Linked DNA regions of Elephas maximus indicus. The protein of the gene in region 1 purifies or fractionates together with the protein of each later gene. This does not show direct contact. Links are inferred from orthologs where the notes say so. Each region holds a gene or a part of one and is shown in the gene's direction. Other genes may lie near its edges. The genes, in order: NAF1, NHP2 and DKC1.

Region 1 (11,449 bases):
TGTATGTTTTCATTTGCATTAGCACTTTCTCATTGGCTATTTTCCAATTTCAAACCTTTTACAGAAAAGACTTAATTTTGTCAATTTTCCTAATCCTCGCCACAACCTTCTAGCCTGATCCCATGCTTAGTATACTCTGCACTGGATCTGAATTTCACCTTGCAAGAAGAGTTTGTTAGTTTTGTCAATTTGCTCTCCTCTCCCCAACTTTATTCATATCCGTATATACTTCCAAATGCATTTTTTCCTTCCCAATTGCAAACATTATCCATTTTGAAGATTAGATGCATTCTCGTAGTCAACTCCTCCATATCCCCCTTTTCTTCTAGTCTTCTTTAGTCTTACATTCTGTTTCAGCCAGATTTGTTTCCCTTGGGACACAAGTTCCAACTTCTGAATCTTTCCCCAGTCTGTCCTGGTGTGGTACCGGCTTCTCTCTTGCTTTGCTATACCACATCCCTCTCTATTGTTCAGGATACTTTTTTTTCTAGGGTTTGTGGTAGGTGGATCGTTTTATCAGCAAACAATCTCTGAGCAAATTTTCCCTTCCTGGTAACTCATTCCTGGATTCACTTAAATAGAATCACAATTTTTTGGCTCTGATATCTACCTTAAGTATTGTAGTTGTTGGGTGCTGTCAAGTGACACCACGTGACACAGTAGAACTGGCCAGTGGGTTTTCTAGGCTGTAATATTTGCAGAAGCAGATCACCAGGTCTTTCTCCCTCAGATCCACTGGGTGGCTTTGAACCGTCAATCTTTTGGTCCGCAGCTGAGCCCTTTACCATTGCACCACTGGGGCTCCTACTTAGGTATTTAGTCTAATTTCTTCATTTGGCAAATGAGTGTGGCGAAGCTTAGAGAGTTTGTTGCATAAAAAACATTGCTTGTCTTTTCAACAAACCACTCACTGAAGGCAGGGACTGCATTTCAGGCACACCCCAATGTGTCTACAAAGTATGTTTTGGTGCTACGAAAATAATCTAACACCAGGAAAGGTTTTGATACGATTTTAGTGGCTAAATATTAAAACGCTGTGGCTGTAATAGATGATGCTTGTTGTCACTGCTTAAAACAAATGGCAGAGGGCACCCTGGAGCTTCTGCCTGTGCCTTACTTCTGTGGTTGTCCCATGCCATCTGTTATGCCTTTGGATAAACGCACTGCTCATAAAATGCAGTGGGAAGTATACAGCAAAAAAGACCATGAGCTTTGGGCTTGGACATCTCAGGATCAGAACACCACTCATGGCCATGGTGAAGTCACTGACTCTCTCCACACCTCAGTCTCTTACACACTTAATGGGGACAATAATACAGACATAAAGGGAGAATTAGGGATAAATTTTGACATGCACCAACATATACATGCTCCATAACCAGCAGCTATTAACATCTACTGGGTATTAGTGGAGGTGCATGTCATAGGACAGATAAAACAGTTTACAAAATAGTCTTCCAAAGGGAAATATACAAGAAAATGAATGGAACGAGTTAAACTGAATTTGACATTGATGCTCATTCATTTCATTTTTTTTTTTTTTAATTCAGAAAACACTGAAGTTCAAGATAAAAATAAACAAAAATTTCAAAAGCAGGTGAGAGTGGCAGGACTAAAGATGATGTTATAACCAAACAGCTAGTCAAAATTTGTTTTTTTTGGCTTTAACAAAGGAAATTTATTTTCTCACAGTCTAGTAGGTTAGAAGTCCAAATTCAGGGTGCCAGCTTCATGGAAAGGCTTTCTCTCTCTGTCAGCTCTGGAAGAAGGTTCTTCTCATCTGTCTTCCCTTGGTCTGGGAGCACCTCAAGTGCAGGGACCTCAGGTCCAACCATGCACTGTGCTCCTAGCACTGCCTTCTTGGCGCCCCCCAAAATCTGGTTTTTAAAAAATTCATCACAGTTTTTTTTTTTCCTTCATATGTGGGAAAAGCACAATATTTTGCTTAATTGCCTTTACTCACTTTTCAATCAGTAGTTTTGACGACATGGAATATAGACAAAAGTAAGTAAACTGCATGTTGTCATTCCATTATTCACTGGTGTAGAGGTGTAGAAAAAAATTCCACAGGTTTTTGGGTCACATAGATCTAGGCTTGAATACTGTTACTTCTTATGATCATTCAATTTATTCATTTCTAATTTTATAAGATGATGTAGGAGAAAAAAAGCACTTGGCAAAAGACCTGGAGTCAGATACGTATTTTAATGAAATGTTCCCAGGAGACAATTTCAATCAACACATGCCTCACTCCTGTCTCCCTCAGGAGCATAAAAAGTACAAAAGTATCTCCTATGGTAATCAATGACTCTGCATATCGGATCTAGCACCTGACACAGTCTTGATTATGCATGAGTAAAATAACTAGCACCTGAAAATATTTTAAACACATTAAAAACGACAAGCTTTTCTGCTTTATGCAATAGCTAAACGTTGAGATGGAAATGCAAAGCCTAACATCAGTAAAAGCCTGTCGATCTGCAACATGTCTTTGGGGGATATTTAGTACATGCCCAGTGAATGCGTATGAGGCATTAATGTAGCAGCTTTCCCTGGAAGGAGCTGAAGCATTGCACAGAATCTTCTCATTAAAGGCAAATGGTAATCATCTGAAAGTTTTTATTCTGCCCAAATTTAGGAATGTTTAGAAAACAAGAGAGGTAATCTGAGAATAGAACTGGCACAAGATGAAGAGTCCGGCACACACAGTTGAACCCCTGTTTTGCCCTAAATAGGCACAGTGAGTTTGGACTGGATGCCATGTAATCTGTCTAAGCCTCGGTTTCCTTACCTGTGAAATGAGGATAAGAGAGTCTACTTTGCAGACTTTCTGTGAGGACCAAATGAGACAACATGTGAAATTCCTGGCACATGGTAGGTTCTCAAATTTTAAGTCTCTTCTGGCCTTCTGTACCTCTTTCTCCCCTTAGATATCAAGTGTGTTAATGAATTAGATTTTGATGTTAATTCAAATGGGTCTTTTGCTGATTTTCCTCCTGGAACCTTGTATTTTAAAATTATACTAAGCAAAGCAACACACAGAATGGGAGAAAATATTTGCAAATCATATGCCTGATAAGGGAATAGTATCAGAATATATTTAAGAAAATCTTATAACTGAAAAATAAAAAGACAAATAACCAAATGAGGAAAGGATTAGAATAGACAGTTCTCCAAAGTAGACATACAAATGTTCAATAAACACATAAAGCAATGTATTTAACGTCTTAAATCAAAATCATGATGAGATAGATATTCACATCCACTAAGGTGGCCATAATCAAAACAACAAACAATAGTGGAGAAATTGGAACCCTCACACATGGCCGGTAAGATAATACACTGTGCAGCCACAATGGAAAACAGTTTGGCAGTTCCTCAAAAAGTTAAACATAGCTTTGCCACAGGACCTAACAACTTCTCTTCTAGGTACATATCCAAGATAAATGAAAACATATGTCCACACAAAAACTTGTACATTTATGTTCATATCAGCATTATTCATAATATCCAAAAAGTGGTTGCTGTTGTTAATTGCCATCAAGTCAGTGTAGACTCATGACAACCCCATGTATTACAGAGTAGAACTGCTTCATCAGGTTTTCTTGGCTGTAATCTTTTTTTTGTTGTTGTTGTTATAATGTTAAAAAATAATTTATTTATTTTTTAATTGTGCTTTAAGTGAAAGTGTACAAATCCAGTCAGCCTCTCATACAAAAATTTATATACACCTTACTATATACTCCTAATTGCTTTCCCCCAATGAGATGGCCCACTTCTTCCCTCCACTCTCTCTTTTTGTCTCCATTCCACTAGCTTCTAACCCCCTCTTCCTTCTTATCTCCCCTCCAGAGAGGAGAGGTCAACATAGCCTCAAGTGTCTACTTGATCCAAGAAGCTCATTCTTCACCAGCATCTTTTTCTATCCCATTGTCTAGTAAAATCCCTGTCTGAAGAGTTGGCTTTGGGAATGGTTGCTGCCCTGGACTAACAGAAGGTCTGGGGGCCATGACCACCGGGGTATCAGTCAGAACATTAAGTCTGGTCTTTTTACGAGAATTTGGGGTCTACATCCCACTGCTCTCCTGCTCCCTCAGGAGTTCTCTGTTGTGTTCCCTGTCAGGCCTGTCATTGGTTGTGGCCAGGCACAATCTAGTTCTTCTGGTCTCAGGCTGACATAGTTGCTGGTTTACGTGGCCCTTTCTGTCTCTTGGGCTTGTAATTACCTTGTGTCCTTGATATTCTTCATTCTCCTTTGCTCCAAGTAGGTTGAGGCCAATTGATGCAACTTAGATGGCCACTTGTTAGCGTTTAAGACCTCATACGCCACTCTCCCAAGTGGGATGCAGAATGTTTTCTTAATAGATTTTACTATGCCAATTGACTTAGATGTCCCCTGAGACCATAGTCCCCAAACCCCCACCCTGCTACACTGGTCTTCGAAGCATTCGGTTTATTCCAAAACTTCTTTGCTTTTGGTTTAGTCCAGTTGTGCTGACCTCTCCTGTGTTGTGTGTTGTCTTTCCTGTCACCCGAAGTAGTTCTTATCTACAAATTGGAGAATGCCCCTCTCCTTCCCTCCCACCCCCTCTTCTAACCATCAAAGAATATTTTCTTCTCTGTTGAAACTATTTCTTGAGTTCTTATAATACTGGTCTTATACAATATTTGACCTTTTGCAACTGACTAATTTCACTCAGCATAATGCCTTCCAGATTCCTCCATGTTATGAAATGTTTCACAGGTTCATCACTGTTCCATTGTGTGAATAGACCATAATTTATTTATCCATGCATCCATTGGGAAACCCTGGTGGCATAGTGGTTAAATGCTATGGCTGCTAACCAAACACTCGACGGCAACGGGGACGAGATTCATCCATTGATGGGCATCTTATTCGGTTTCACCTTTTTGCTATAGTCAACAGTGCTGCAGTGAACATGGGTATGCATATATCTGTGTAAAGGGTCTTATTTCTTTAGGATATATTCCAAGGAGTGGGATTGCTGGATCGTATGGTAGTTCTATTTCTAGCTTTTTAAGGAAGCACCAAATCAATTTCCAAAGTGGTCGTACCATTCGACATTCCCACCAGCAGTGTCTAAGTGTTCCAGTCTCTCCACAACCTCTCCTACCTTTATTATTTTGTGTTTTTTGGATTAATGTCAGCCTTGTTGAAGTGAGATGGAATCTCATTGTAGTTGTGATTCGCATTTCTCTCATGGCTAATGATCGTGAGCATTTGCTCATGTATCTGTTAGTTACCTGAGTGTCTTCTTTAGTGAAGTGTCTATTCATATCTTTTGCCCATTTTTTAATTGGGTTATTTGTCTTTTTGTAGTTGAGTTTTTGCAGTATCATGTAGATTTTAGAGATCAGGTGCTGATCAGAAAGGTCACAGCTAAAAACTTTTTCCCAGTCTGTAGGTAATCTTTTTACTCTTTTGGTGAAGTCTTTGGATAAGCATAGGTATTTGATTTGTAGTAGCTCCCAGTTATCTACTTTTTCTTCTGCATTGTTAGTAATGTTTTGCATACTGTTTATGCCATGTATTAGGGCTCCTAACATTGTCCCTATTTTTCCTTTCATGATCTTTATCATTTTAGATTTTATATTTAGGTCTTTGATCCATTTTGAGTTCGTTTTGTGCATGGTGTGAGGTATGGGTCTTTTTTTTATCTTTTTGCAGATGGATATCCAGTTATGCCAGCATCATTTGTTAAAAAGACTGTCTTTTTGCCATTTAACTGATTTGGGGCCTTTGTCAAATATCAACTGCTCATATGTGAATGGATTTATGTCTGGATTCTCAATTCTGTTCCATTGGTCTATGTAACTGTTGTTGTACCAGTACCAGGCTGTTTTGACTACTGTGGCTGTGTAATATGTTCTAAAATCAGGTAGAGTGAGACCTCTCACTTTGTTCTTCTTTTTCAGTAATGCTTTACTTATCTGGGGCCTCTTTCCCTTCCATACGAAGTTGATGATTTGTTTCTCCATCTCATTAAAAAATGTCATTGGAATTTGGATCAGAATTGCATTAAATGTAGATTGCTTTTGGTAGAACAGACATTTTTACAATGTTAAGTCTTCCTATCCATGAACAAGGTATGTTTTTCCACTTATGTATGTCTCTTTTTTGGTTTCTTACAGAAGTGTTTTATAGTTTCCTTTGTATAAATCTTTTACATCTCTGGTAAGATTTATTCCTAAGTATTTTATCTTCTTGGAGGCTACTGTTAATGGTATTGATTTGGTGATTTCCTCTTCGATATTCTTTTTGTTGTTGTAGGGAATCGAACTGATTTTTGTATTTTGGCTGTAATCTTAACAGAAGCAGATTGCAGGGCCTTTTCTTCCACGTATGGCTGGGTGGGTTTGAACCTCCAACCTTGAGCAGTCTAGTGCAAACTGTGCCACCTAGGGACCTTCCAAAAGGTGGAAACAACCCAAATGTCTGTTACTACGTTTTAGCATCATGTCACCATTCTATGAAGCAGTGTCAAATAGACCAGACATCATCAAAATATCAACAAGCAGCAAAATTCCATTCTCCATTACTTCTCTCTTTAGAGTTCTTTTAGGGAAACAAAAATTTGCATAGCTGTCAGTTTTTTGAGATGGTCAATGTTTTTGCTATCCATGTACTTGTCTAAGTTCAACTACAATGAAGTTACTAAAAGTGTCTTTTTTTTAAGGCTTTCTGGCACAAGTTTCTGATGTACAGAGCCTGGGACTTGCAGGCATCTCCCCTGCCCCATAATCCCTCCTCCTTGTCCGTGGTTCGAGTACCAATGATCCTGATTCAGCAAAATGAAATACCAGCCTCTGGGAGTGGGATAGGAAGACAAGGCCCGAAGTTGTTAAGAGAGCCAGGAACTAAATGCCTTCCCAGCTCTCAGTCCAGAGGTCCCGGAGGTCCGTCCCCGCCCCCGCCCCGCCCCCGCCCCGCCCCGCCCGCCCCCGCCCCGCCCCGCCCGCCCCCGCCCCGCCCCGCCCGCCCCCGCCCCGCCCATGCCCCGCCTCGCTCCCGCCCCGCGAGTGCCGTCGCGTCCCCTTACGTCACAGGCTTCCCCGGAAGTGCCACTGCGCACACCGCGACATTGTGCTTCCGGACTGGTCCGCGTGTAGTTACCCATAAGCGCGGGAAGTTGGTCAGGCGCTGGTGCGTCGGCCGCTGAGGTTATTTTACCGTCTCCGGAGGGAACCACGAGCTTTCCGGGGTCCCAGAGCGTGAGCCCCAGTCGGGCTCTGACGCAGGGAAATGGAGGTGGTGGAAGCCGCCGCCGCTCAGCTGGAGACTCTGAAATTCAATGGCGGCGGCCTTGCGGTTGGCGAAGGTCTGACGGCGCCGCCACTGCAGCCGGGTGAGGCGTCTCCGGACTCCGGGCAGGCAGCGAAGGTTCGGCCCGCCGGGGAACGGGCGGCTGAGCCCGCGGTGAGCGCCGTCGCCGCCGGCGGGAGCCGGGCCCCGCAGTGGGAGCCAGAAGCGCCCCCCGGCGGGAACTGCGTCGCGGGGCTGGCTGCGGCCGAGCCGGCGCGGACCCAGGACTCCGTGGAGACCTCGGACTCGGACACGGACTCGGACTCGGACAGGTTGGTGCCTGTCGGCCGCCGAGCTGCGGAAAGAGGGCTTCTATGAGGGGCGGGAGGAGCCGGGGCCTGGGGCCGAGAGGGCGCCCGAGTGGGTGTGGGCCGGCGGGGAGGCCGCCGATGCTCAGGACTCGCGTGTTGACCTGTAGCCGGGACCGCCCATGCCTCTGGACATCGCGTTGTGGATCTTCAGTGCAATAAGCTGTTCGCGCTACTTCCCTAAAGTCAGCCGTCTGAAAGGGCCAGTGTCTAGGCCGTGCCTTTAATTAGAATATAGAAAGTCTTAGGATATTAAATTATTTGCATAACTGTTCTCTTATGTTGAGTTTGTAACTTTGAGTCGTGTGTCAGGTCTGAATTGTTTCATTAGGTTTAGCGTGTGTGTGTATATTATCCCCCTGTTTTTGAGCTGGATGAATTGAGGGTGAGGAAAAGGATTATTTTGTGTGCTTCAGGTTGGCGCTTGCCAATTGCTAACTTGCAGAATCTTTGTGGGGAGCACATGCTCTTGAAGTTAGCTAATTGTTGTTCTTTAGTATTGTTTTATGCTCTGCACACCTTTTATTGTTGTTAGGTACCTTTGAGTAGGTTCCAACTCATAGCGACCACGTGTACAACAAACAGAAGGAAACACTGTCCATCCTGCGCTATCTTCACAATTGTTGTGCTTAAACCCTTTGTTGCAGCCACTGTGTCCCCCCATCCTGTCGAGGGTCTTCCTTTTTTCGCAGACCTTCTGCTGTACCAAGCATGATGTCCTTCTCCAGGGACTGGTCCATCCTGATAGTCCAAAGTATGTGAGATGAAGTCTCTCCATCCTTGCTTTTAAGGAGCATTTTGGCTGTCCTTTTTCCAAGATAGATTTGTTTGTTCTTTTGGCAGTCCGTGGTATATTCAATATTATTCACCAACACCATAATTCATAGGCATCAGTTCTTCTTCCTTATTCATTGTCCAGCTTTCACATGCAGATGAGGCAATTGAAAACACCATGGCTCGAGTCAGGCTCACCTTAGCCCTTAAAGTGACACCCTTGCTTTTTAACAGTACAAAAAGGAACCTTTTATAGGAGCTTTTTTCCCTTGTGTTTTTAATGCAAATGTCTGTGACAAAACTGCAGCATATAGGATGCTCTTAAACAACCCTGAACATTGTCTCCAAATATTTGAGTGTGTTCTGCGGGCTACTGAATAGGTGAACAAGATAGACACAACCCCTGCCATGCATTCCAGTGGGAGGGAAGAAATATAAAAGTAAACATGTTTAATGAATACAGTGATCAGAGTTGGTGCAAATCATTATGAAGTAACAAGCAAGGGGCTGAGAAAGTAACAGGGAGGCTGACCCTGTAGGGTCCTGTAGCCATCTTAAAGGTTTAATTCTAAGTGCTAGAAAAGCAAACTATTGATTAGTTTTAAGCAGGGAATGACATGCTCAGTTAACATTCTTATAAGTTTTGCTCTGTGAAGAGAGATTTGAATTTAGAAAAGAGTGCAAGCAGAGAAGCAAGAGTGGAACAGGGCCAAGTGTGGAAATAGTTGGGAAATGTACTAGCACATGGTTCCCTTGATTAAGTATTTTAAAGTTACACTCATCAGGCTCTTAATAATAGGTCAACAGTTGTTGTTAGGTGCCATCCAGTCCGTTCCGACTCAGCGACCCTAGTCCGCTCTGACTCAGCGACCCTACGTACAACAGAAGGAAACTGCCCAGTCCTGTGTCATCCTCACAATTATAGCTATGTTCCTGTGTCATCCTCACAGTTATTGCTATGTTTGAGCCCACTGTTGCAGCCACTCTCTGCCAGTCCGTCTCGTTGAGAGTCTTCCTCTTTTTTCCTGACCCTCTGCATTACCAACCATGATGTCCTTTTTGGTCCCTCCTGATAAAACATCCAAAGTAAGTGAGATGAAGTCTCACTGTCTTTGCTTGTAAGGAGCATTCTGGCTCTACTTTTTCCAAGACAGATGGTTTGTTCTTCTGGCAGTCCTTGGTATACTCAATATTCTTTGCCCACACTGTAATTCAAAGGCATCAGTTCTTCAGTCTTCGCAGGCATATGAGGCAATTGAAACTTTAGTCCTCAAGGTGACATCTTTAATTTTTAACAATTTAAAAAGTCTTTTGCAGTATATTTGTCCAGTGGAATACATCGTTTAGTTTCTTGACTACTGCTTGTGGATATTGATTGTGGATCCAAGCAAAATGAAATTCTTAACAACTTCAGTCTTTTCTCTGTTTATTGTGGTGTTGCTTATCGGTCCAGTTTTGAGGATTTTTGTTTTCTTTATGTTGAGGTACAGTCCATACTGAAGGCCGTGGTCTTTGATCTTCATCAGTGAGTGCTTCAAATCTTCACTTTCAGCAAGCAAGGTTGTGTCATCTGCATAATGCAGGTTGTTAATGAGTCTTCCTCCAATCCTGATGCCCTGTTCTTGATATAGTCCAGCTTCTCAGATTATTCGTTCAGCATACAGATTGAACAAATACGGTGAAAGGATACAACCCTGATGCACACCTTTCCTGACTTTAAACCACCCAGTATCTCCTTGTTATGTTCGAATGACTGCCTCTTGGTCTATGTACAGGTTCCTCGTGAGCATAATTAAGTTTTCTGGAATTCTTATTACTCTCAGTGTTATCCATGATTTGTTATGATCCACACAGTTGAATGCCTTGGCATAGTCAATAAAACACAGGTAAACATCTTTCTGGTACTGTCTGCTTTCAGCCAGGATCCATCTGACATCGGCAGTGATACTCCTTGTTCCGCATCCTCTTCTGAATCCCGGTTGAATTACTGGCAGTTCCCTGTGGATGTACTGCTGCAGCCATTTTTGAATTATCAGCAAAATTCTACTTCCATTTGATATTAATGATATTGTTCGATAATTTCCGCATTCTGTTATATCACCTTTCTTTGGACTGGGTATGCATATGGATCTGGCTAGTTGGTTTGCCGGGTAGCTGTCTTCCAAATTGCTTGGCATAGACCAGCGAGTGCTTCCAGAGTTGCACCAGTTTGTTGAAACATCTCGATTGGTATTCTGTCAATTCTTGGAACCTTGTTCTTTGCTGATGCCTTCAGTACAGCTTGGACTTTTCTAGTGCCATTAGTTCTTGATCATATGCTGCCTCCCAAAAGGTTGAATGTTGACCAGTTCTTTTTGGAACAGTGACTCTGTATTCCTTTCCATCTTCTTTTGATGCTTCCTGCATCGTTCAGTATTTTGCCAATAAACTCCTTCACTGTTGTAACTTGAGGCTTGAATTTTTTTTTTTTTTCAGTTTGAGAAATGCTGAGTGTGTTTTTCCCTTTTGGTTTTCCCAGGTTTTGCACATTTCATTATACTACTTTGTCTTCTTGAGCCACCCTTTGAAATCTTCTTTAGCTCTTTTTTATCATTTCTTGTATTAGCTTTAGGTAGTCTGTCTTCAAAAGCAAGTTTCAGAGTCCCTTCTGACATCCATTTTGGTCTCCTCTTTTTAATAATCTTTAGCTTTCTTCATTTATGATGTCCTTGAAGTCATCCCATAACTCATCTGGTCATTAGTGTTAAGTGTGTCAAATCTATTCTTGAGATGATCTCTAAATTCAGGTGGTATATGCTCAAGATTGTACTTTGGCTCTCCTAGACTTGTTTTAATTTTGTTCAGCTTCAGCGTGAACTTGCATAGGAACAATTGATGGTCTTCCACAGTCGGCTCCTGGCCTTGATCTAAATGATGGTATTGAGCTTCTGCATTGCCGTCTTTCCACAGATGTAGTAAATTTGATTTCTTTGTATTCCATCTGGTGAGGTCCAGGTGTAACAGTTCCCATTTATGTTGTTGAAAAAAGGGTATTTGCAATGAA
Region 2 (10,489 bases), on another chromosome or scaffold:
AAATAAATACAAATGACCTGTGAAATTATGATATATTCAGCCTCCCACAGAATTAAAGAAATGGAAATTAAAGATACCATTTACTCCCTCCACAGCCACCGGCCAAAAAAGATGGCTAAAATGCTCTATTGGCAGCAATTAGCACATGAAAAGATGCTCAAAGTCTTTAGTCATTTGAGAAATGCAAATCAAACCCACAATGAGATGCCATTTCACTTCCACTATTGTTGTTGTTAGGTCCCAGTCCAGTCGGTTCCAACTCATAGAAGGAAACACTGCCTGGTCCTGTGCCATTCTCACAATCGTTATTATGCTTCAGCCCATCATTGCAGCCACTGCGTCAATCCATCTCATTGCAGGTCTTCTTTTTTGCTGACCCTCTACTTTACCAAGCATGATAGGGACTGGCCCCTCCTGATAACATGTCCAAAGTATGTGAGAAAAAGTCTTGCCATCCCTGCTTCTAAGGGGTATTCTGGCTGTACTTCTTCCATGCTTGATTTCTTCATTCTTCTGGCAGTCCACAGTATATTCAATGTTCTTCACCAACACCATAATTCAAAGCTGTCAATTCTTCTTCAGTCTTCCTTATTCATTGTCTAACTTTCACATGCATGAGGCAATTGAAAATACCATGGTTTGGGTCAGGCACATCTTAGTCCTCAAAGTGACATCTTTGCTTTTTAACACCCTAAAGAGGTCTTTTGCAGCAGATTTGCCCAATGCAACGTGTTGTTTGATTTCTCGACTGCTACCTTCACGGGTGTTGATTGCGGATCCAAGTAAAATGAAATCCTTGACAACTTCAATATTTTCTCCATTTATCATGAGGTGGCTTACTGGTCCAGTTGTGATGATTTTTGTTTTCTTTGTATTGAAGTACAATGCATACTGAAGGCTGTAGTCTTTGACCTTCATCAGTAAGTGCTTCATGTTGATGAGAATGTGGAGAAATTGAAATCCTCCTCCATTGCTAATGGGAATGTAAAATGGTGCAGCTGCTGTGGAAAACAGACGGCTCCTCAAAAAGTCAAATATGGAATTACCATATGACCCAGCAATTTCACTCCTAGGTATATACTCAAGAGAATTGAAAGCAGGGACCCAAACACATGCAAGTATACCAAAACTCATTGCAGTACTATTGATAATAGCCAAAAGGTAGAAACAACCCAAGTGCCCAAAATCTGACAAATGGATAAAAAAAATTGTGGTATATCTATACCATGTAATAGAACATTATTTAGCCATAAAGAAATGAAGTTCTGATATATGCCAAGACATGAATGAAGCTTGAAAATATCATGCTAAGTGAAATAAGCCTGACACAAAAGGACAAATACTGTATGATCCCACTTATATAAAACATCTAGAATAGGCAAATGCATAGAGACAAAGCTTATTTATTAGTGGTTACTAGGGACTGGGGGGAAGAGGGAATGAATTATTACTGAAGGAATTCTGTGCTTCTGTTTGAGGTAATGTACAACATTTGAAAATTGACAGTGGTGATGGTAGTAAGACAGAGGTCCCCAGGCTGCAGACAATTCCACTGCCTCAAGCAGCTTTCTTGGCATGCCCCGTAGCTTTACACTAGAATCCTGGTTCCTTTGCTTGGTATGCTCCTTAACTTTACATTAAAATCCTGGTTTTCCTCTCCTTATCTGTTGACCTAAAACTAGAGGAAATTGGTGGAAACTGGTTGAGGTGCCATGTTGACATTCAGGATACATTTTTAGACCTTATACACAGTAACTTCCCTGCCTCTGGGTGTAGTTTAGCAGCCATTTTCTAAACATGAGATGCATGAAGTTATATGCAAACCTCATTGTGCCTTCACAGTTCGATTAAGAATGTTGTTGATATAATCCGTATGAACTTCCTACTTGTAAACCCATCCCCCTAACCCTCATTGAGCAATCTTGGTGGCAGCAGCCCCGACTGTCTCCTTTCCTTGTGCAACGAAATAAAGGCTCTTTTCTACTCTCCCACCTCAGTCTCTCATTTATTGGCTGAGACGAGTCACGCAGAGCAGAACCTGGGGTTTCCACCTGGCAACAGTAGCACAGCATGGCGAATGTAATTAATATTACTGACTTGTACACTTAAAAACAGTTAAAATGGCAAGCTTTTTTAATATACATTTCACCACAATAAAATTAAGAAACAAAACCAGTATTGGCAAGTGTTTAAGAGATACATTATTAGATTTTGTAATAGTTTTGGCACAGATGTAGAGAAATTGGAACCCTTATATGTTGCTGGTGGGAATGTAAAATGATGCAGCCACTGTGGAAAACAGTCTGGCAATTCTCAAAAAGTTAGACATCAATATACCATTTGACCCAGCAATTCCACTCCTAGAGAAATGAAAGCATATGTCCACATAGAAACTTGACCATGAGAGTTCATAACAATACTACTCACAATAGCCAAAAGATGAAACAACTCAAATGTCCACCAACTGGTGAATGGATAAAATCTGGTATATCCATACAATGGGATAATATTTGGCCATAAAAAGGAATGTAGTTCTGACACATGCTGCAACACAAATGAACCTTGAAAACATTATGCTGGCTGAAAGAAACCAGATACAAAAGGTTACATATTGTACGATTCCATTTATATGAAATGTTCAGAATATGTAAATCCATAGAAAATAGAAAGCAGATAGTGGTCGCTTAGGGCTGGGGGTGCTGGGGGGTTTGGAGGTGATAGCTAAAATTATGGGGTTTCTTTTTGAAGTGATGAAAATGTTCTAAATTTGATGGTTGCACAATTCTGTGAATATATTAAAGTCATTGAATTTTGCACTTTAAGTGGGCGAATTATACAGTATGTGAAGTATATTAAAAAAAAAAAATCCTCCTCAATTTTTTAAAAGATGGGACCTTAGTCCAGCAAGGCCTAACTTTTTCACTTTAAAGATAAGGCACTAAAGCCCAAAGAGGTTAAACGACTTGTACAAAGTCACTGGGCATTTAGGAGCCTGGGTGGTACAAACAATTTGTAATTGGCTGCTGACCCAAAGATTGGCGGTTCAAATCTGCCCAGAGGCTCTTGCAGAAAAAAGGCCCGGTGATGTGCTTCCATAAAGATTATAGCCAAGAAAACCCTATAGAGCAGTTCTACTCTGTAACACATGGAGTCGCCATGAGTTGAAGGCTGACTTGATGGCAGCTAATGACAACAACATTTGACATTGAGAACTCTGGTCTACTGCCCATGAGTCACTATGTTCTCACCCACTCTACGCTGCTTCATGGAAGCTCGTGTGACCATTGTCGTAGAGCAAAATCATAAAGCCTGGTTAAAATCCAAAGTAAAGAAAGAGTTTTATTGAGGGAATAGAGCCAGCTGCAGCACAAAAAAACACTGCAACAAGAAAACGTGGCGTCCCACCAAATGCAACAGGTGAATCCAAGGGGGAGAAATTGGAGGCACGAGATTATAGGGCTGGAGGAGGAAGTACAAAACACAATATTCTGATTGGTTTACACTGACTGAAGTCAGTCAAAGGTAAGACAAAGTAACGGATAATCTTTGACATTACTGGTTATGTGAATACACTATTGGCTAAAAGACATAACTGAAAGGCATGGGGTCAAGGGGGGGCTTCACGTTGGTAATAAAGCAATGACATGATGGAAAATTTCCGGAGTGGTCTGTTAAAAGTTACCTTGCTCAGAGCGTCAATCTCTAGAGGAGATTGGGAACAAAGAGCTTCCATCAGGGAACAAATGAGTTTCTGGGAGGTATTCACATTCTTTAACCTGACCAGAGAGAAACTTAATTCCTTAACAATAATAGGGGTTGGTTTCTAGGCAACAAAGGTAGAGTAAGGGGGAAAGGTTACTTTGAGCTCTTAGAGTTAGCTAGCTCAGTCATTTTACAAATACTGTCAGAAGCCTCTGATTTTATCCTTTATCACCATTCTAACAAAAAAAATTGGTAAAAATCATACAAACCACCTTGAATCTGGCACAGACCTCTGAAGCTGGCTTTAGAAATACACAGCGTGGTTTACTGAGGACACAAAAAAGCTGACACTTGTGACCTGGCCAGACTGAGGTTCCTACACTTTCACTATCAGCCACATTTCACAATCTTTGCACTAAAACCAACTCCCCTAGTATGGGGAGAGTCTGGGCTTGGAGACAAGCAGACCGTGGTTCAAATCTAGCTGTATGACCTGAACCGAGCTACTCATCTTTCTGAGCTTCAGTAAACTGTGAATAATAATGGTATTTTCAGTGAGCATTGAATGAGATATTACATGTAATATGCTGGGGACACAAACATTCATTTCCCTCTTCCTTCTGTGTAAGAGGAGCCCTGGCGGCGCAATGGTTAAGAGCTTGCCTGCCAACCAAAAGGTTGGCAGTTGGAATCCACAGGCTGCTCCTTGGAAACCCTATGGGGCAGTTCTACTCCTTCCTATAGAGTTGCTATGAGTCGTAATCGACTCTATGACAATGGGTTTGAGGCCTTGGTGAGGTCAAGGCCTCAACCAAAAAAATATGTTTGAATTAGGTTTCTCCAAGAAGAATTTCTCCATTGCTCCCCTGGACAGTTCATCATGCCCCATGCACTCATCTGGGGAGCTTCTCATCTTTGTGACCCTGGTACATTTTCATACCAGTCCTACAAGACTGAATCTGTTCATAGGAATGTCCCTTGGGAAGGAACAGAAAACCCTGCCATAGGTTCAAAGGAGACCACAAAGCTGGTCTCACAGCCTTGCAGACCACGTGGAGAGGCCTTCCCAGCGAGGAGCAGAGCTGCTGCTCCAGGATGGCCAGGGGAAGGGCATGGCAGGGGAGATTTTGGGGGTGGGAAATGGTTACTGCAAAGTTGTCAGCAGTGAGGCAAAAACTGAGAGTGACTTGTCAACCTAAGGATCGGGAAGAGGCCACCTCAGGAAATTCCAAAGCAAAAAAATTTTATAAGTACATTTTTAAGTTGGACAAGTTGGCTTAACTGACCTATGCTCCAACTCCATGGCCTCCCACACACTTCAAAAGTTCCACTTACTGACCTGTTACATCACCACAAAAATGGCAGGCCTACCACTGAATAATCGAAGGCAATTAATTGGTAGCAATTATCTAATTAATATCCAGCCAGTGTGTTCCAAGACAGGAGTCCCTGGGTGGTACAAAAGGTTAAGGCTATTAATCAAGCAGGCGACTAACCGAAAGGTGGTTCAAATCTACCCACCCAGAGGTGCCTTGAAAGAAAGGCCTGGAAATGTACTTCCAAAAACCAGTCATTAAAAACCCTATGGAGCACAGTTCTACTGACACGCATCTGGTCGCCAAGAATCCAAACTGACTTGATGGTAACTGGTTTGGATTTTTTGGTCTGGTTTCAAGACAAAGAACTATGTCAAAGATACCAAGATCCATACCAGCCCAGGCCTGCTCACCTGACCAGCGCCCCCATCCCTCTACAGATCCATTCAAATCAGTCTGTCTCCTCAGCGCTCTCCTGCACCCCTCTTGCCCCAAATCTCAGACCCAAATGCCTTTCCCTCCCTTGTCCTTCATACCCAGCTCTGTCTCAGCGATGTGTGAAATGCCAGGCACAGTGGTAAGAACTATTAAGAAAATAAAAGGGATAAGGGATGCAGGTGGGAGGCCGGAAGGGGCCACAGCTTTGGATAACGTGATCAGAGGATCCTGTCCTATGGGGTGACATTTGAGCAGATACCTGAAGGAAGACACGAAGCGAGCCCAGGGGCTATCTAGGGAAAAGCGGTCAACGAGTGGGGCCATTCCTTGCTCTGTATCTTCCTTCCACAGCCGTGCAACGCGGGCCATGAGAAAGCAAATGGAGAGACACTATGCAAAAACGGAAGAAACCATTAGCAGTGTCAGGCTTTACCATTAGCAGTGTCAGGCTTTACCTTTAGCACTCAGACACTACCCAGGACCAGCTCAGGAGCCGGGACCTGACCAGGCTCCGCACTGACAACCTGAAACTTCAGACCTAACTAAATTGGTCCGGAATCACGCTAGCACAGATTTCCAGTTCTTGCACTATGGTCGCACACCCCGCCCATCGGGCGTGGATCCCGTTCCGTCAGGCATGGCCACGCCCCCACAGGTACTTCCTCCTGTTCCCGCTCCCCGCGACCCCCACTCTCAGACAATAGGAGACAATAGGAAAGTGCAGGCTATTCCCGCCCCACCCCCTAGGCCCCGCCCCTCGCCTTAGTTCTTTTTTTTTTTCCCCCCCCGGGCCCGCCCCTAATCCGCTTTGTCCAATAGAAGTGGCCCCGCCTCCTAGGGCCAAGACTCCGCCTCCCTCTCCGTCAACGATTGGCCTGAACCTAGTTTCCCAATTGGTTGTAGCGCACGGCTGGCTTCCCGCACAGTGGGACGACCCGGAAGTGATTTCTGCAGAGGCTTGCCGCGTGGGTTCGCCTCCCGGGAGTCGGCGTGGGTATTGCCGTGGCTGCCGCTATGACCAAAATAAAGCCAGACCCGGACGGGCCGGAGGCTCCTGCAGAGGCGTCCTGTGGGGAACGCACGTACCATGAGCTGCTGGTCAACCTGAACCCAATCGCGCAGCCCCTGGCCTCCCGCCGCCTCACGCGGAAGCTTTACAAGTGCATCAAGAAAGGTGCAGCGGGCGCGGGGGCTGGCGGGGCGCGGGGGCGGTGCGAGACCCCCGACTGACTCTCTTGTCGTTGCAGCCGTGAAGCAGAAGCAGATTCGGCGCGGCGTGAAGGAGGTTCAGAAGTTTATCAACAAAGGCGAAAAAGGGTGAGACTCCCCTCTCCGCCACGTTTCGCGTTTCTAAACGGTGAACTTAGGTGCTCTGTAAAAGTCGAGTGGGCTGACTGTCCCCTATAATAAAGCAGTCGGTAAGTTTCACTCAGTATAGATACCGACATACCATTTGCAGGAGCTCAGAGGGACCCCATGAGCAAAGTGAACTCCAGAAGGAAGCTAATCGTATCATCTAATTCAATTCGGATAGACCCCTCTCCCTTCATTTAGCAACTAAATGTTTTTTGAGGGCTTTGTCAAGCACTCTGCCTATGGGGATGCAGTGACATTGGGCAAATAATCAGAACACAGTTACAGGTTGTGATAATCACGAAGGAAAAGTGCCGTGAGAAAGACTTCATTCCTCTGCTTCTTTTCTGGCATTTAACAGAATCTGAAATTTGTATTTACATTTTTATCTCCAGTGCCTCCCACGCAGTCCAGACCATAAGCTTTTTGAGAACAGGGATTCCCATTGCTTTATCCCCAGCGTCTGGCACACTGTAGATGCTCAAGAAATAAGGCTGGGGGATTTGGTGCACAGTTGGGTGTCAGACCTAGTTTGACCTGGGTCGCGGGGAGGTCGTGCATCAGGGAGTTTTATTTGAGCTGAACCCTGAAGATGCAGGGGCTGATGGAGGTATGAGGGGGAAGGAGGTGGTTCCAGCCACAAGAGGGGCCTATGAACAATGGTAAGGACTTTAGTTTTTGTACTTGGTCTTTAGGGACCACTGAAGGGTTAAAGCCAGGGAGTGACATTATATTTATGCCTTAACATTTCTCAATCCAAGAAAGAAAGGATTAGAGAGACAAGAGTAGATTTGGGAAAACTCTTGCTAGGAAGGTTACTGTAGTCCAGAAGAGGTGAGGGAGATGGAGAGAATGAAAGTGGGTGGATTTGAGAGGATTTAGGATATGGAGAGTGAATTGCAATTGACTTCTGGATTTTGGCTTGCCCAGCCAAATGGATGGAGGGCCCCATTCACTGAGAGCCAACAATGGAGGGCCAGGTTTATGTGGGAATATCTCAAGTTTGGTTTTAGACAGTTTTTTTTAGGTCCCTTTGAGATACACACCCCCAGCCCCCAACACCCCTCTGCAGCCCCCAGTGCTACTCAGCAGCACAGGTGGCCACGTGGGCTAGGAGCTTGAGAGGACCGGGCTGGAGAGAACAGATTTAGGAGTTGTCAGCACACAGTGTGGGGAACACCAACACTTAAAGGAAGAGTAGTAGAGGCCAAGATGCCAAAAGAAAACTAGAATACAGAAGCAGCATTTTCCTGAATAATCTTTTTAATTTCTTCAATTGCTTTATCTCTGTGTTCCTTGGCTTGTTTTGCGTATTGCCTTATTTCCTTCTTGATGTTTTGAATGGTTCTGTATATTAAGCTTTTGTATTCTGCCTCTGGTAATTCCAGGAAGGCACTTTCATCTAGAAGATCCCTTGATTCTTTGTTTTTAGAGCTTGTTGAGGTGATCATGCTGTTTCTTTATGTGACTTGATATTGACTGTTGTCTCTGAGCCATCTGTAAGTTATTTTATTAATTTTATGTTTGCTTACTGTGTCATAGCTTCTTGCTTTTTGTTTTGATATGCCCAAATGGGTTGCCTGAGTGAGCTAGCTTGATTATTTCTGCCTTTGGGGCTCTGACGTCCTCTTCCCAGATGGTTAGAGTTGTTATCAGGTGTATTAGTCTAGAAGTCCATTCACTTTTCTTGTATGACTTCAGCTCAGGTGTCCAGGTAGCTGATCATCAAGTGTGTTAGTATAGGCTCTGTCCTACAGTCTTAGAGGGGCAGGGATGATTGGTGTAGATACCAGTATCTGGTTGCAGCAGGGGGTCATGCTCTGAACAAGGCGGGGCTAAGAATCATTCCCCATGTGTCTCTGAGGAAAGCCTGTCCCTGTTCCCTAGAGTGTACAGGTGGGTGGGTTCTGCAGACGGACCATGGGCACCCAGTGTTCTTGGTTGTAAGGACTGGGAGGTACCAGTTATCCCTGGACCCCTGTCGCGGGTGGCTGGGTGACCTGAGTGGAGCTACCAGTCCTTAGGCCCCTGATGTGGGTAGGTGAGGACCCTGTTCAATAGGCAAAGCAATGTCAAACATCAAGCACCCACTTTGCCGCCGCACAGCTGAAACAGTTGGAGTTTGCCAACAAGGATCTATTCTCCTGAGATAGGCTCACCCAGGTCCATGCAGACGGGAAAGGTACTCAAAGTCCACAGACTGTTTATACTTGGACGGGAGCTGCTTCTGTCCTGAGCTCCCCCGGTTAGTGGAGCTGGCAAATTATCTTTTCCCCTAATTGCAAATTTATTCCTTCACCAAGGCCGGGAGGATGGCTCTAGGTGCTCAACAGGGCCTATCTCAGGCCCAGGGAATTCAGCTGCTGAAGCCAGCTGGGGGTCCGGGGCGGGGGGGGGTTAAATTATACGCAAGTACTTAGTTTTTGCCAAGAGTGCCGTTCTCCTCAGATTCCAGAGGTGTGAGCAGGCTGTGTGGCTGGCTGCTTCTCCCTGAGGAAACTGCGGCCGAGCCGCCGCTCTCGGGAATGGTTCCTGAGGGCTCCTCGCGATTCAGGTCCAATAACTTGGTAAACTGTCTCTTCCTCCCCCTGCCCCTCAGTTCGTTTTCTAAGCTTGCCTTTGATGCTCATGGCTCTTAGCTTGTCATAAATATACTCGTTTCACTTGTTTTTTTGGGTCTCTGTTGTAAAGAGGGCTCACCGAAGTGTCTATTCTGCTATCTTGGCTCCACCTCTCCAGAAACAGCATTTTGAACTGAGACTTCTTGTGTCTGCCTGTCCCTCTGTGTCTTCAGGCCTCCTGTGGCCCTTGCCCAGAGCCCCAAGGCAAACCTTGCTAGTCGAGAACCCCGAGGATTCTCTGGCATGCCCTTAGTGGTTCCCATCACTCATGGGACACAGCCCAGGCTTCTTAGCCTTGGTACTCAAGACCCTCTGGCAGGTATGGCCCCCATCTGTCTCTCCAGCTTTCTTTTCCACCCTACTACCCCTGGATTGCAAATCCATCCCAGGTGGCCAACAACCCCCGTGTTTTGTGGTTCCATTCTGCTTCTCAGCTTTGAATGCTTTCCGTATCTCCAGTGCCCCATCCAACCATGGTTGCAGACAGACATCATTCAACCTTCAGTTCAAGTGTCACCTCCTCAGGCTTTTTTTTTTTGCGTCTCCTAGGAGAGCTGAGCACTTATTCCTTGGGGCCCGCCCCCCCTCCCGCCACACCTTTCCTGTCCCAGCACTATACCAGTTGGTGGCATAAACGTTGCCATGTCAGCTTCTACTGCTTAGTCCTTCTTCAGCTTTCTTGGGTCAGACATACTTTTGAAACTGTGATTAAAAAAATAAAGACCATCTCTTCAGAAGAACACACTCAACCAAACACACAATTTTGCACCCACTTTCAGAGGCTACATTCCAATATTAGTAACTGGGCTTCTTGAAGGCAAGGTCATCTCATTTGCCTCTGTATCCCCAAGACCCAGTCCTGAGGCAGCACTTGATTCCAAAAGGAAGAACAGGCCAGAAATGACCGTGATTTCTTTCATTTTAGGATCATGGTTTTGGCGGGAGACACACTGCCCGTTGAGGTGTACTGCCACCTACCAGTTATGTGTGAGGACCGGAATTTGCCCTATGTCTATATTCCCTCTAAAACGGTAAGGAGCACATGACCCTGCCAACCCT
Region 3 (10,656 bases), on another chromosome or scaffold:
AGCTTTGAAAAAAATCCTCTGTTCTCTGAGACAATTTACACAATGGCCCTGCCCTCTAGACTCTAGTTATTGGCCACACTCTCCAGATTCTGAGTGGAGGCCCCTCGGCCCTGGGCTTCACCTCCGCCTTCCAGGCGCACTGGGACACCAATTCTCCTCCCTCAGCTTTAAGTGCACCATTCACCTAGTCCAGCTGAGTGTTGACTCCACCCATAGAAACACCAGAGGCCATGGCTCCAACCTTTGAAATCTCTGAGATCCTGGCCATACCTTTTGAGACTGAGGCAGCTCCGCTTCTTGTGTTGTCCCTTCAGCTTCTGCTTCCTGGTTTCTTGGGCTTGGGCCTCATACCCATGTCTGCCCTGCTGGGCAAGTGTTCCAAAGCTCTGTAGCTCCACTAAATAAGCTCTCTCACTTAGTGGATCGGCTCCACCACTGTCTGGCGCTGGTCTCCTGGTTCTGCTGCTGCTGGCCCTCTGTGGCTGCTGCTCCTCTACCCATTCACAAAACCCACTGCCACATTTTAGGTATCCGTTTTTTTTGTTGTTGTTGTTGTTAGAGCAGCACTCCATTCTCTTGGTACCAAATTCTCAGTTATTTAGTACTGCCATAACAGAAATACCACAAGTAGATGGCTTTAACAAAGAGAAGTTTATTCTCTCAGTCTAGTAGGTTACAAGTCCAAACTCTGGGTGTCAGCTCCAGGGGATGGCTTTCTCTCTCTGACGGCTCTGGAGAAAAATTCGTTGTCATCAATCTTCCCTTGCTCTAGGAGTTTCTCAGCACAGGGACCCGGGCTCTGCTCCTGGTGCTGCTTCCTTGGTGGTATGCAGTCCCCCTGTCTCTCTGCTCACTTCTTTCTTTTATATATCAGAGATTGCCACAAGACACAATCCAATCCGGTAGATGGAGTCCTGCCGTAGATTGAGTCCTGCCGCACTAACACAATTGCCACCCATCCTCCCTCATTAACATCACAGAGGCAGGATTTACAACATACAGGAAAATCACACAATACGGGGAATCATGGCTCAGCCAAATTGGTGCACACATTTTTGGGGCGACAGAATTCAATCCATGACAGCTGGCATAGGGAACCCAAGGTGGAGAAGGGAGAGTGTTAGATCACCAGGTAGCCCTGAGGGATCAACTGAGGTTATGAAACTGGCATGGTCATGCTAGTCAGCTGCTTGGATGCAGACAGAATAGGGGGAGAGTTGAATTTAGGCAGGTTGTGGTTTTGCTAGTGAGGATGATGGAAGGAAAAGGGGACAAGGGTTTAGGCCAGGCAACTAGAGCTGGAAGAGCCAGGGGAAATCAGGTGAGCAAGGCAGCACAAATCCCTAGGCCTCTTTCAAACTCACCCCGCTGCAGTTGGAAAATGGGCCCACAGGTTCCACTACCCTCCCCGCCTCCACCTTTAGCACTGATTAACCCATGAAGGGAATTTATGAATGAAATCCCTATAATATTGCCCTGGTGAATGACTACTTGGAGGGAGACCTCTCATGTTCATGCTGTGTACCAACTTCCCAGGATTAAGACAAAGAATGCACAAAACATAGCAAAAATGCAATTACTTAATCACTGTGGTACTAATACAGTAATCAACAAAATAGTCTAGAAACAAGTTGTAGCATATGACAAGTTAAATACATATAGTGAACATTAGTGTCAGTCCTTGAAATCAGGGATGTTAGAAACACGCCTTTATCTTCTTTTTTTAAAAATCTTCTATAGCAACTGAATTTCTAACTCTGAGGCTTCATTCCACTGAGCTGTCTCAAAATATTCTCTTGGGCTTCCTTGATTTTGTCTCTTCTCTGCCCAGGACTTGTGCTCTGTAACCTTAGGCTCACTTCTCTCAACTCTAGCCAGACAACAGACATAAAACAACAGACATAAAACACCAAAAAAGCCCAGTGCCATCGAGTCAATTCCGACTCAAAGCGACCCCATAGGACAGAGTAGAACTGCCCCACAGAGTTTCCAAGGAGCGCAGACATACTGCCATAGAACTCTGCATTTCTAGAGCTATGTTCTGCCATTGTGTTGTACATAGTTTGCTTTCATGGGAAAACATTTTGGGGCAGGGGCATTGCCCCCAAAACACACACACACTCACCTTCTCTCCTTCTCCAAACTCAGGAAGCTCTCTTGAGGGCTTAGTCTTTTAAACACACACCAGAAAGTCTTATAGGTACCACAGCTTTCCTTTGGTATGCCCCACGTTTCTCCTGAGTCATCTAAGCAGAGAGCTGGGTACCCTCTTGAATGGAGGCCTGGAGGGGGAGGAGAAAGGAAAAAATACAGTGCTAAAAATCCATCAATGAATACCTCAACTTTATTCAGCCAAACATGTAGTAATGCATTATTACACAATAACGGGGAAGTAAAAAACTACTAAACTACTAAAGGAGCTGCTCTGAGGGAGAAAGATGTGGCAGTCTGCTTCAGTAAAGATTTAGTAGAACTGTCTTATACAGTTTCCAAAGCTGTATAAGACAGTCCTACTCTGTCACATGGGCTCGCTATGAGTTAGAATCGATTCAACAGCAGTGGGTTTAAAAACTGCTCATGGATAGGATGATACTGGGAAATTTGCATCATTATTATTACCTCAACATACATGCACATAATAGTAATATCATTATTATAATGACATGTGCAAATGACATATACAAATACCTGGAGTTAAAAAAACAAAAGGGAAGAACACGCTCGGCATTTCTCAAGCTGAAAGAACCGAAGAAAAAATTCAAGCCTTGAGTTGCAACAGTGAAGGATTCCATGGGGAAAATATTAAATGACACAGGAAGCATCAAAAGAAGATGGAAGGAATACACAGAGTCATTATATCAAGAAGAATTAGTCAATATTCAACCATTTCAAGAGGTGGCATATGATCAGGAACCGATGGTACTGAAGGAAGAAGTCCAAGCTGCCCTGAAGGCATTGGTGAAAAACAAGGCTCTAGGAATTGATGGAGTATCAATGGAGATGTTTCAACAAACTGGTGCAGCACTGGAGGTGCTCACTCGTCTATGCCAAGAAATATGGAAGACAGCTTCCTGGCCAACTGACGGGAAGAGATCCATATTTATGCCTATTTCCAAGAAAGGTGATCCAATCGAATGTGGAAATTATAGAACAATATCCTTAATATCACATGCAAGCAAAATTTTGCTGAAGATCATTCAAAAATAGCTACAGCAGTATATCAACAGGGAACTGCTAGAAATTCAGGCTGGTTTCAGAAGAGTACATGGAACCAGGGATATCATTGCTGATGTCAGAAGGATCCTGGCTGAAAGCAGAGAATGCCAGAAGGATGTTTTAAAAAACTAGTTTTTATTCACTATGCAAAGGCATTCGACTGTGTGGATCATAACAAACTACAGATAACACTGCAAAGAATGGGAATTCCAGAACACTTAATTGTGCTCATGAGGAACCTTTACGTAGATCAAGAGACAGTTGTTCGGACAGAACAAGGGGATACTGATTGGTTTAAAGTCAAGAAAGGTGTGAATCAGGGTTGTATTCTTTCACCATACCTATTTAATCTGTATGCTGAACAAATAATCTCAGAAGCTGGACTATATGAAGAAGAGTGGGGCTTCAGAATTGGAGGAAGACTCATTAACAACCTGTGTTATGCAGATGACACGACCTTGCTTGCTGAAAGTGAAGAGGCCTTGAAGCCTTCAGTATGGATTATGCCTGCAAATAAGTGGTGAAAGGCAAATAAAGAAACCAAAAATCCTCACAACTGGACCGATAAGCCACATCATGATAAATGGAGAAAAGATTGAAGTCCAGGATTTCATTTTACTTGGATCCACAATCAACAGCCATGGAAGCAGCAGTCAAGAAATCAAAACACACGTTGCATTGGGTAAATCTGCTGCAAAGGACCTCTTTAAAGTGTTGAAAACTAAAGATGTCACTTTGAAGACTAAGGTGTGCCTGACCCAAGCCATGATATGTTCAATCTCTTCATATGCATGTGAATTATGGTGTCAGCAAAGAATACTGAATATACCATGAACTGCCAAAAGAACGAACAAATCTGTCTTGGAAGCAGTACAACCAGAATGCTCCTTAGAAGCAAGGATGGTGAGACTGTGTCTTACATACTTTGGACATGTTGTCAGGAGGGATCAGTCCCCGGAGGACATCATGCTTGGTAAAGTAGAGGGTCAGTGAAAAAGAAGAAGACCCTCAACAAGATGGATTGACACAGTGGCTGCAACAATGGACTCAAGCATAGCAACAACTGTTAGTATGGTGAAGAACCAGGCAGTGTTTCATTGTGTGGTACACAGGGTCACTATGAATTGGAACTGGCTGGACAGCACCTAACAACAACAACAACATACCCAAAGTCTAGATAGAATAAAAGTTACGTGAGATAAAAACCAATTGTATTTTTAGAAAGCCACAGTTAAAAGTCAAATTTTTCCAATCTTCGGATGGTACAGGAGGAATGGAGAAAAAAAGCTCTCCTTTTTTATCAGCAGCAACTCATTGGAAAACAATGGCAAACGATTCTGTTTGCAATAGCAATAAAGTATTAAATAACTAGGGCTCAATCAATTGAGACATGAACAGGATGAACACGGGTTCTTAAACCTGTAAGAATCTTTGGAAAGTTTTGGACCATCTCCCACATAAGATGCACCTACGAATGTTGCATACAGCCTCGGGAGTTCCAAAAGTTCTGTCACCAAGTCTAGAGACGCTAGGTAAAATATTTACATGAGCAGATGGCGAGGTCTTTCTCCCCGCAGTGAACCACCAGGGATCCTTTGTTCTAATTGAGATATGCTAAAAGCGTAAAATACACGCCGGGAACGGAAGAGTTAGCACGGAAAAAAAGTGTGAACTATCTCTCCATAACGTGTTTGTATTGCCTACATTGTGAAATAAAATATTTTGGGTGAGTTTCATAAAACACAATATTAAAATTATTTCCACCTGTTCTTTTTACTTTTTTCCATGTAGCTGCTGAAATAATAAAAAGTACACATGTGATTCGCACTCTATTCCCATTGGACAGCGAGGCTCTAGAGGGATGGTACTAGCGAGCTGCAAAGGAACTTCCATTTCTGTGACTCCATTTCCTCATTTTTCAATCGGCGCTGATTCCGACACCTACCTTAAAGTGTCGGCATGAGGAAGCAAAGAACTAACATTTACAGGGCGCTCTGGCACTCAGAACCGTGATCAGGTGTTGGGCGCCCAGGTTAAAGCTAACAAAACTCGACTACCATCCCTACTCCATCCCGCGGCAACCTGGCTGGTTACGCGCGCTCCTGGCTCGGGCCGCGGAAGGCGGGGCGAAGCCCGAGGCGCCTGCGCGCACGCAATACCTGGGCCGAGCCAGCCAATAGAGTTGCTGTTGCTTCCCTCACGCATTCCGGCTCCGCCCCTTGGCCCCTGCCCCGCCTCGCAGCGCCGCGCTCCACGCACGGGGCGGAGCACACGTGGGCGGGCCCTAGCGGCGCGGCCTGACGGGACCGAGGCGACGGGAGTCGGGCGGTTTATCCCTTGGTTGTGGCCTCGGCGGCGTGCACGTTGTGTGGAGAACATGGCGGACGCCGAAGGTAAGGACTGCAAGCCGGCTGGCCGTGCGCGCCCTGGCGGAGCCAGCTCTGCGGGCTAGAGGAACCGGGGGAGCGGCGTCGGGGCCCGCGCTCGTTGCCCGCCCGCTCCCACCGCCGGGCCAGCCCCGTGGCTCCTGGGCCTCTGGCCGGACTTGTCTCCTGGCCCTGTGCTGCTCGGGTGAGGACCCGAGATCTAGAGGGCCCTGCGGTGACGTGGCTCCGCAGGGCCCGAGTCGCAACCGAAAGGTGTGGCGGCGCTGGCGGCCCCGAGGTGGCGGCAGTCCGGCGAGTACCTGTGTGACGCTGCCGCCAGCGCCGCGCTTTGGGGGAGAGGGGTGGTGGGGACGAGCGGGGGAGAAAGTAGCTGAGGGCCGCAGGCGCGGAAGTAACTATGTCCCAAGAAAGACCTAGATGCCAGAAACCTCTGGCCGGGTGGCTCTGCGCGTTTTTTAAGCCCCACCGCGACCACGTGGTGAACCGAAAGGGAAGCCAACACGTGCGACAGGCGCTACTTAGGTACCGACCGACCCCGTGCGGAGAAGTGTTTGGCTTTACAGACTTTGTTTTCTCCGGGAACTATACACTAAAAATCTATATCTTATCTGCCCTGATTTCTGATTTTATGTTATTCTAAACTTTGTCCCGTTTGGGGGAAAATTTTCAAATCTCTGTTTTTAGTTGTTTTGTTGAAGAAACATAAGAAGAAGAAGGACCGGAAGTCATTAGCAGAAGATGATGTAGCCGTAAGTGGGAATGTTTTACCTTAAGTTACTTACAGAGCAAGTTGTAGGAAATAACTTTCTAAAGGTTTCTTAGAAACAACAAAGCCCCTGAGAATTAAACCATCTTGCCCTGATCCCCAGCCACCCGGTGTTTCTCATACTGGACCACTGTTTACTAAACGGTTTTAGTCTTACCAACTGCTCTCCTGAAAATCCGTCTCTTCCTTACACTACCCACAGATACTCCAGGCCCTTTTCTCTTAAAGTATTTGAATCCATCCTAGTGGTATTTCACTTCCACTTCGGAGCCCCTGGTTCATTTCTTCTCTTCCTTTCATACAGAAGCATAGCTTTCTATAGTAGGTACAGATTTGTTTAAAAAATCAGGTGGGAAGTCTAACAGGGTGCATTTGTGTCTTGCCAAAGGAAATACAACATGCTGAAGAATTTCTTATAAAACCTGAATCCAAAGTGGCTCAGTTGGACACATCTCAGTGGCCCTTGTTATTAAAGGTACGTGGTGAAGATCATGCATCAGGCTTTTAGGTTATTTTTAAATGTTAAGCAGTTTATTTTGCCCATTAATCTGTGGGTGTTGCTACACATGCAAAAACATCTGACTGTCCCGTGATTTTATCCATGCTTGAGCCTGTCTGTACCCTCTGTCTTGCCCATTAAGTTTCTCTTCTTAAAATCAGGAATGCTTAATGCTAGCATTCCTGACTTCTAGGAAGTGCCAGATGATACAGTCTAAAGCACTGTTCCCCAAAGTATTCGAGATGAAGGATCAGGTCATTCTTTTAAATTTCTAATGCACCAAATACTGTTGTAAAATACAGTTAAAATGCCACAGCTATGTTAAATTGCTATCAAAGTTTCTAAATGCTTAGCTTTCAGTTTCTGTGCTCTTGTCTTCCAGACCTGTCCTAGTTCATGGGCCACCCTTGGAGTAGTACTGCTCTAGTGCTTAAGATCATAGGCTTTGAAGCCAGCCAGTTTGATTCAAGCTATTTGTGACCTTGGGCCAGTCACTCCACTCCTCATACTGTTTGTTCAAAATACCGCAGGAGGTAACCCGTGAAATGTGTTTAGCCACAGTGCCAGGCGTGTAACATGTCCTCTAGAGATTACTGTCTATTATTTTTGGTCTTAGCCCTGCTGGTGCAGTGGTTAAAGTGCTTGGGTGCTAAGAGAAAGGTGGGTGCTTCTAACCCACTAACTGCTTTGTATGAGAAAGATGTGGCAGCCTGTTTCTGTAAAGATTGCAGCCGTGGAAACCTTACTCTCTTCTATAGCGAGCTATGAGTCAGAATCGACTTGATGGCAGCGGGTTTGGTTTTTTGGGTTATTTTTGGCCTTAAATAGGGTAGTTCAGTAAAGAATCTAATTACGTTGTGTTTTTGTTTTACAATTAAACGGGCACGTGGTATAAAGTTAGTAGAAAAAGTTACTGAGACACCCCTTGACGAAGAGTTTTAATAAGCCAATTTGCTTGACATAAGGTTTGCTCATATCTTTCAATAGAGCTGAGTTTCTCTTTGGCCAGATACCTCTGCCATTTAAACATTTGGTTTTCTATTGGGGGGCTTGAGAATCAACTGGTAAGCTGGGTAGACAAGGTCCCTGCTGTCCTGGAACTAAGATCTAGGTGTGGGAGATAGTTAAAGAAGTGCTGTTTGTAAGAAATGCTATGACAGAGCTAAACAGGGTGACAGGACAGCTGTGTTTGAATTGGGGTTCTGTTTCACATGGGGGAGGTGGCCATAGATGGATCCTCAGAAGTGAAGAGACTTAAGCATACTTGTGGACAGTAGAGATAGGAGCATCTAAAGGGGGAACAAGTTGGTCATGTTTGAAAAATGTTGGCACCAAAAAAAAAAAAAACAAACACAGTGCCATCGAGTCGATTGCTACTCATAGCGGCCCTAGAGGACAGAGTAGAACTGTCCCAAGGAGCACCTAGTGGATTCAAACTGCCGACCCTTTGGTTAGCAGCTGTAGCACTTAACCACTACTCCACCAGGGTTTCCATGTTGCCACCAGCAATCCTAAATTCGTCTGTCTTTTCCCCTGAGGAGGTGAAGGTTCTTCCATAGCAGTACCTAGTCTGTACTGTAGTACTCCCAGGAGCCTCCACTTTTTAAAGCAGTGTCTTAAATCTATGAGTCATCAAATTTGTCTTGTTCTTATTAATACGGGTAGTTTTGCCAATAGTTACGGAGACCTAACAGTCTGTCACAGCAGATAATGAAAACATAGGAGCAAAACCCAAACTGGTGTTCTTTAAGGGTTACCCTATCGTTGTTGCTTGGTGCTGTTTCATATTCACTAATAGCTTAAAAACAGGGATTGTAAAGTTAAGTTGATCTTGTGTTGTATTATTGCCTTGTAGAATTTCGATAAGCTAAATGTAAGGACAACACACTATACTCCTCTTCCTTCTGGTTCAAATCCTCTCAAGAGGGAGATTGCCGACTATATTAGGTAAGTGTCTGGAGCAGACACTAGTCAAACTTTCGTTATTTCTCATCAGTTATTCAGTGTGGCCGTATCTTTCAATAGCACTTGTACCCATGGTGATTTTCTTTTTACTTTTCAGATTTGTTGTTTTATCAGAAGACAAGAGCAGGTGTTCTATGAATTTTTTTTTCCTTTACAGGACAGGTTTCATTAACCTTGACAAGCCTTCTAACCCCTCTTCCCATGAGGTGGTAGCCTGGATCCGGCGAATACTCCGTGTTGAGAAGACAGGACACAGCGGTACTCTGGATCCCAAGGTGACTGGCTGTCTGATCGTGTGCATAGAACGAGCCACCCGCTTGGTGAAATCACAACAGAGTGCAGGTATGCAAAGGAGGGAGGGGAGGAGTGGGGACTTTGAGATCAGAAGGCTCTTTGTTTTTCTTCCTGTTTGTCTATACTTTGGCTTTTGAAAACAATTTCTTGGGGATAAAAATTCCCAGAACAGGATATTCTTTTGGCTTTTCTGTGCCTTCTGTCTGTCCTCTGCCAGATCCTTGTGCAGCTGCCCTTTCTTGGAGCTTTAGTTACCAGAGAGACTCTCAACTCATCACTCCAGGTTTGAAAACAGAAAACTTAGTGGCTACACCTAACTACTGTTCTGTCATTTTTTAGGCAAAGAGTATGTGGGAATTGTCCGGCTGCACGATGCCATTGAAGGGGGGACCCAGCTTTCTAGGGTAAGTCTGCATTTGCAGAGAAGTCCCCCTTTGGCGACTTGGATCTTCTGAGCCTAGATGTGTCTGAAGACAAGTCAGCATTCCTTGTTGGCCTGTGTCTTCCGTGGAACTCTCACACCCTTTCAGAAATCTTCTGGCAGTGTCCCCTCTGAGGAGGGGTTCTGATCAGCACTGGGCTACTCAGTGTATTTGAAGAAGCAGAAAAAAACACGTTTGATTAAGTTCTTAAAATCACAAAATACACCCTTTGATCTTATTTGCGAGTTTGTGCAGTGAGTCTTTGTTTTGATTTGTGTGTACTTGTAGGCCCTAGAAACTCTGACAGGTGCCCTATTCCAGCGACCCCCACTTATTGCTGCAGTAAAGAGGCAACTCCGAGTCCGGACCATCTACGAGAGCAAAATGATAGAGTATGATCCTGAGAGAAGATTAGGTGGGTCATTACGCTTTTGAGAAACTGACGTGGCATAGACCACAAAGGAGTAGGAATGGCTTTGTGAGAATTCTGTGTATAAAAGCAGAGGCTGTTAATACGTTGTGTAATCACAGCCTGTGTTTGTCGTCTCCAGCATCAGCTGGAGTAGGACTTTGTAGGTTTGTCAACCAGTGATGTGTCTTCCTTGGAAAATAAGTGCCACTTTTCCTCTGTGTGTGTGTCTCTCAGGAATCTTTTGGGTGAGCTGTGAGGCTGGCACCTACATTCGTACACTTTGCGTGCACCTTGGTTTGTTACTGGGAGTTGGAGGTCAGATGCAAGAACTTCGGAGGGTTCGTTCTGGAGTTATGAGTGAAAAGGTACGCTGTTCTAGACATTTTAGAGCTGGTTCTTACTATCTTCCAACCCGTAGTAGAACTCTACCCGCTTAACATCCTGGAAAAGGCAGCTTCCAAAGTGTTGAGTTCAGCTCAGGGCAGCTTCCCTGATCTGTTAATTAAACTTTGGGACATTGAAACGGGCTAGGGAAAATGAATGGATAGAAAACATTTCTTTATTCATTTATTTCCCAGCCTACAGAAATGCCTGCCTAGATTTATTGTAAAATTTGCTGCTGTCGAAGTCGATTCTGACTCATAGTGACCCTGTAAGACACAGTAGAACTTCCGCACCATAAGGTTTCCAAGGAG

What was found.
Region 2: the proteins of NAF1 (region 1) and NHP2 purify together in Homo sapiens (affinity purification with western blotting; 3 studies listed by BioGRID and IntAct, with this or other methods). This does not show direct contact. The link is inferred for Elephas maximus indicus from reciprocal best matches to the Homo sapiens genes NAF1 and NHP2.
Region 3: the proteins of NAF1 (region 1) and DKC1 purify together in Homo sapiens (co-immunoprecipitation; 7 studies listed by BioGRID and IntAct, counting the BioPlex papers as one, with this or other methods). This does not show direct contact. The link is inferred for Elephas maximus indicus from reciprocal best matches to the Homo sapiens genes NAF1 and DKC1.

The regions. Positions count from the first base shown.
Region 1 is NC_064831.1:14,547,752-14,559,200, forward strand, and holds the start of NAF1 (H/ACA ribonucleoprotein complex non-core subunit NAF1), read left to right. Parts: upstream 1-7,080; 5' UTR 7,081-7,264; coding exon 7,265-7,596; intron 7,597-11,449. UniProt on the Homo sapiens protein: RNA-binding protein required for the maturation of box H/ACA snoRNPs complex and ribosome biogenesis.
Region 2 is NC_064820.1:198,294,726-198,305,214, reverse strand, and holds the start of NHP2 (H/ACA ribonucleoprotein complex subunit 2), read left to right. Parts: upstream 1-6,361; 5' UTR 6,362-6,470; coding exon 6,471-6,630; intron 6,631-6,703; coding exon 6,704-6,773; intron 6,774-10,355; coding exon 10,356-10,461; intron 10,462-10,489. UniProt on the Homo sapiens protein: Required for ribosome biogenesis and telomere maintenance. Part of the H/ACA small nucleolar ribonucleoprotein (H/ACA snoRNP) complex, which catalyzes pseudouridylation of rRNA.
Region 3 is NC_064846.1:1,273,108-1,283,763, reverse strand, and holds the start of DKC1 (H/ACA ribonucleoprotein complex subunit DKC1), read left to right. Parts: upstream 1-5,490; 5' UTR 5,491-5,593; coding exon 5,594-5,609; intron 5,610-6,287; coding exon 6,288-6,352; intron 6,353-6,757; coding exon 6,758-6,844; intron 6,845-8,723; coding exon 8,724-8,815; intron 8,816-8,990; coding exon 8,991-9,175; intron 9,176-9,466; coding exon 9,467-9,531; intron 9,532-9,837; coding exon 9,838-9,964; intron 9,965-10,195; coding exon 10,196-10,326; intron 10,327-10,416; exon of another isoform or gene 10,417-10,548; intron 10,549-10,656.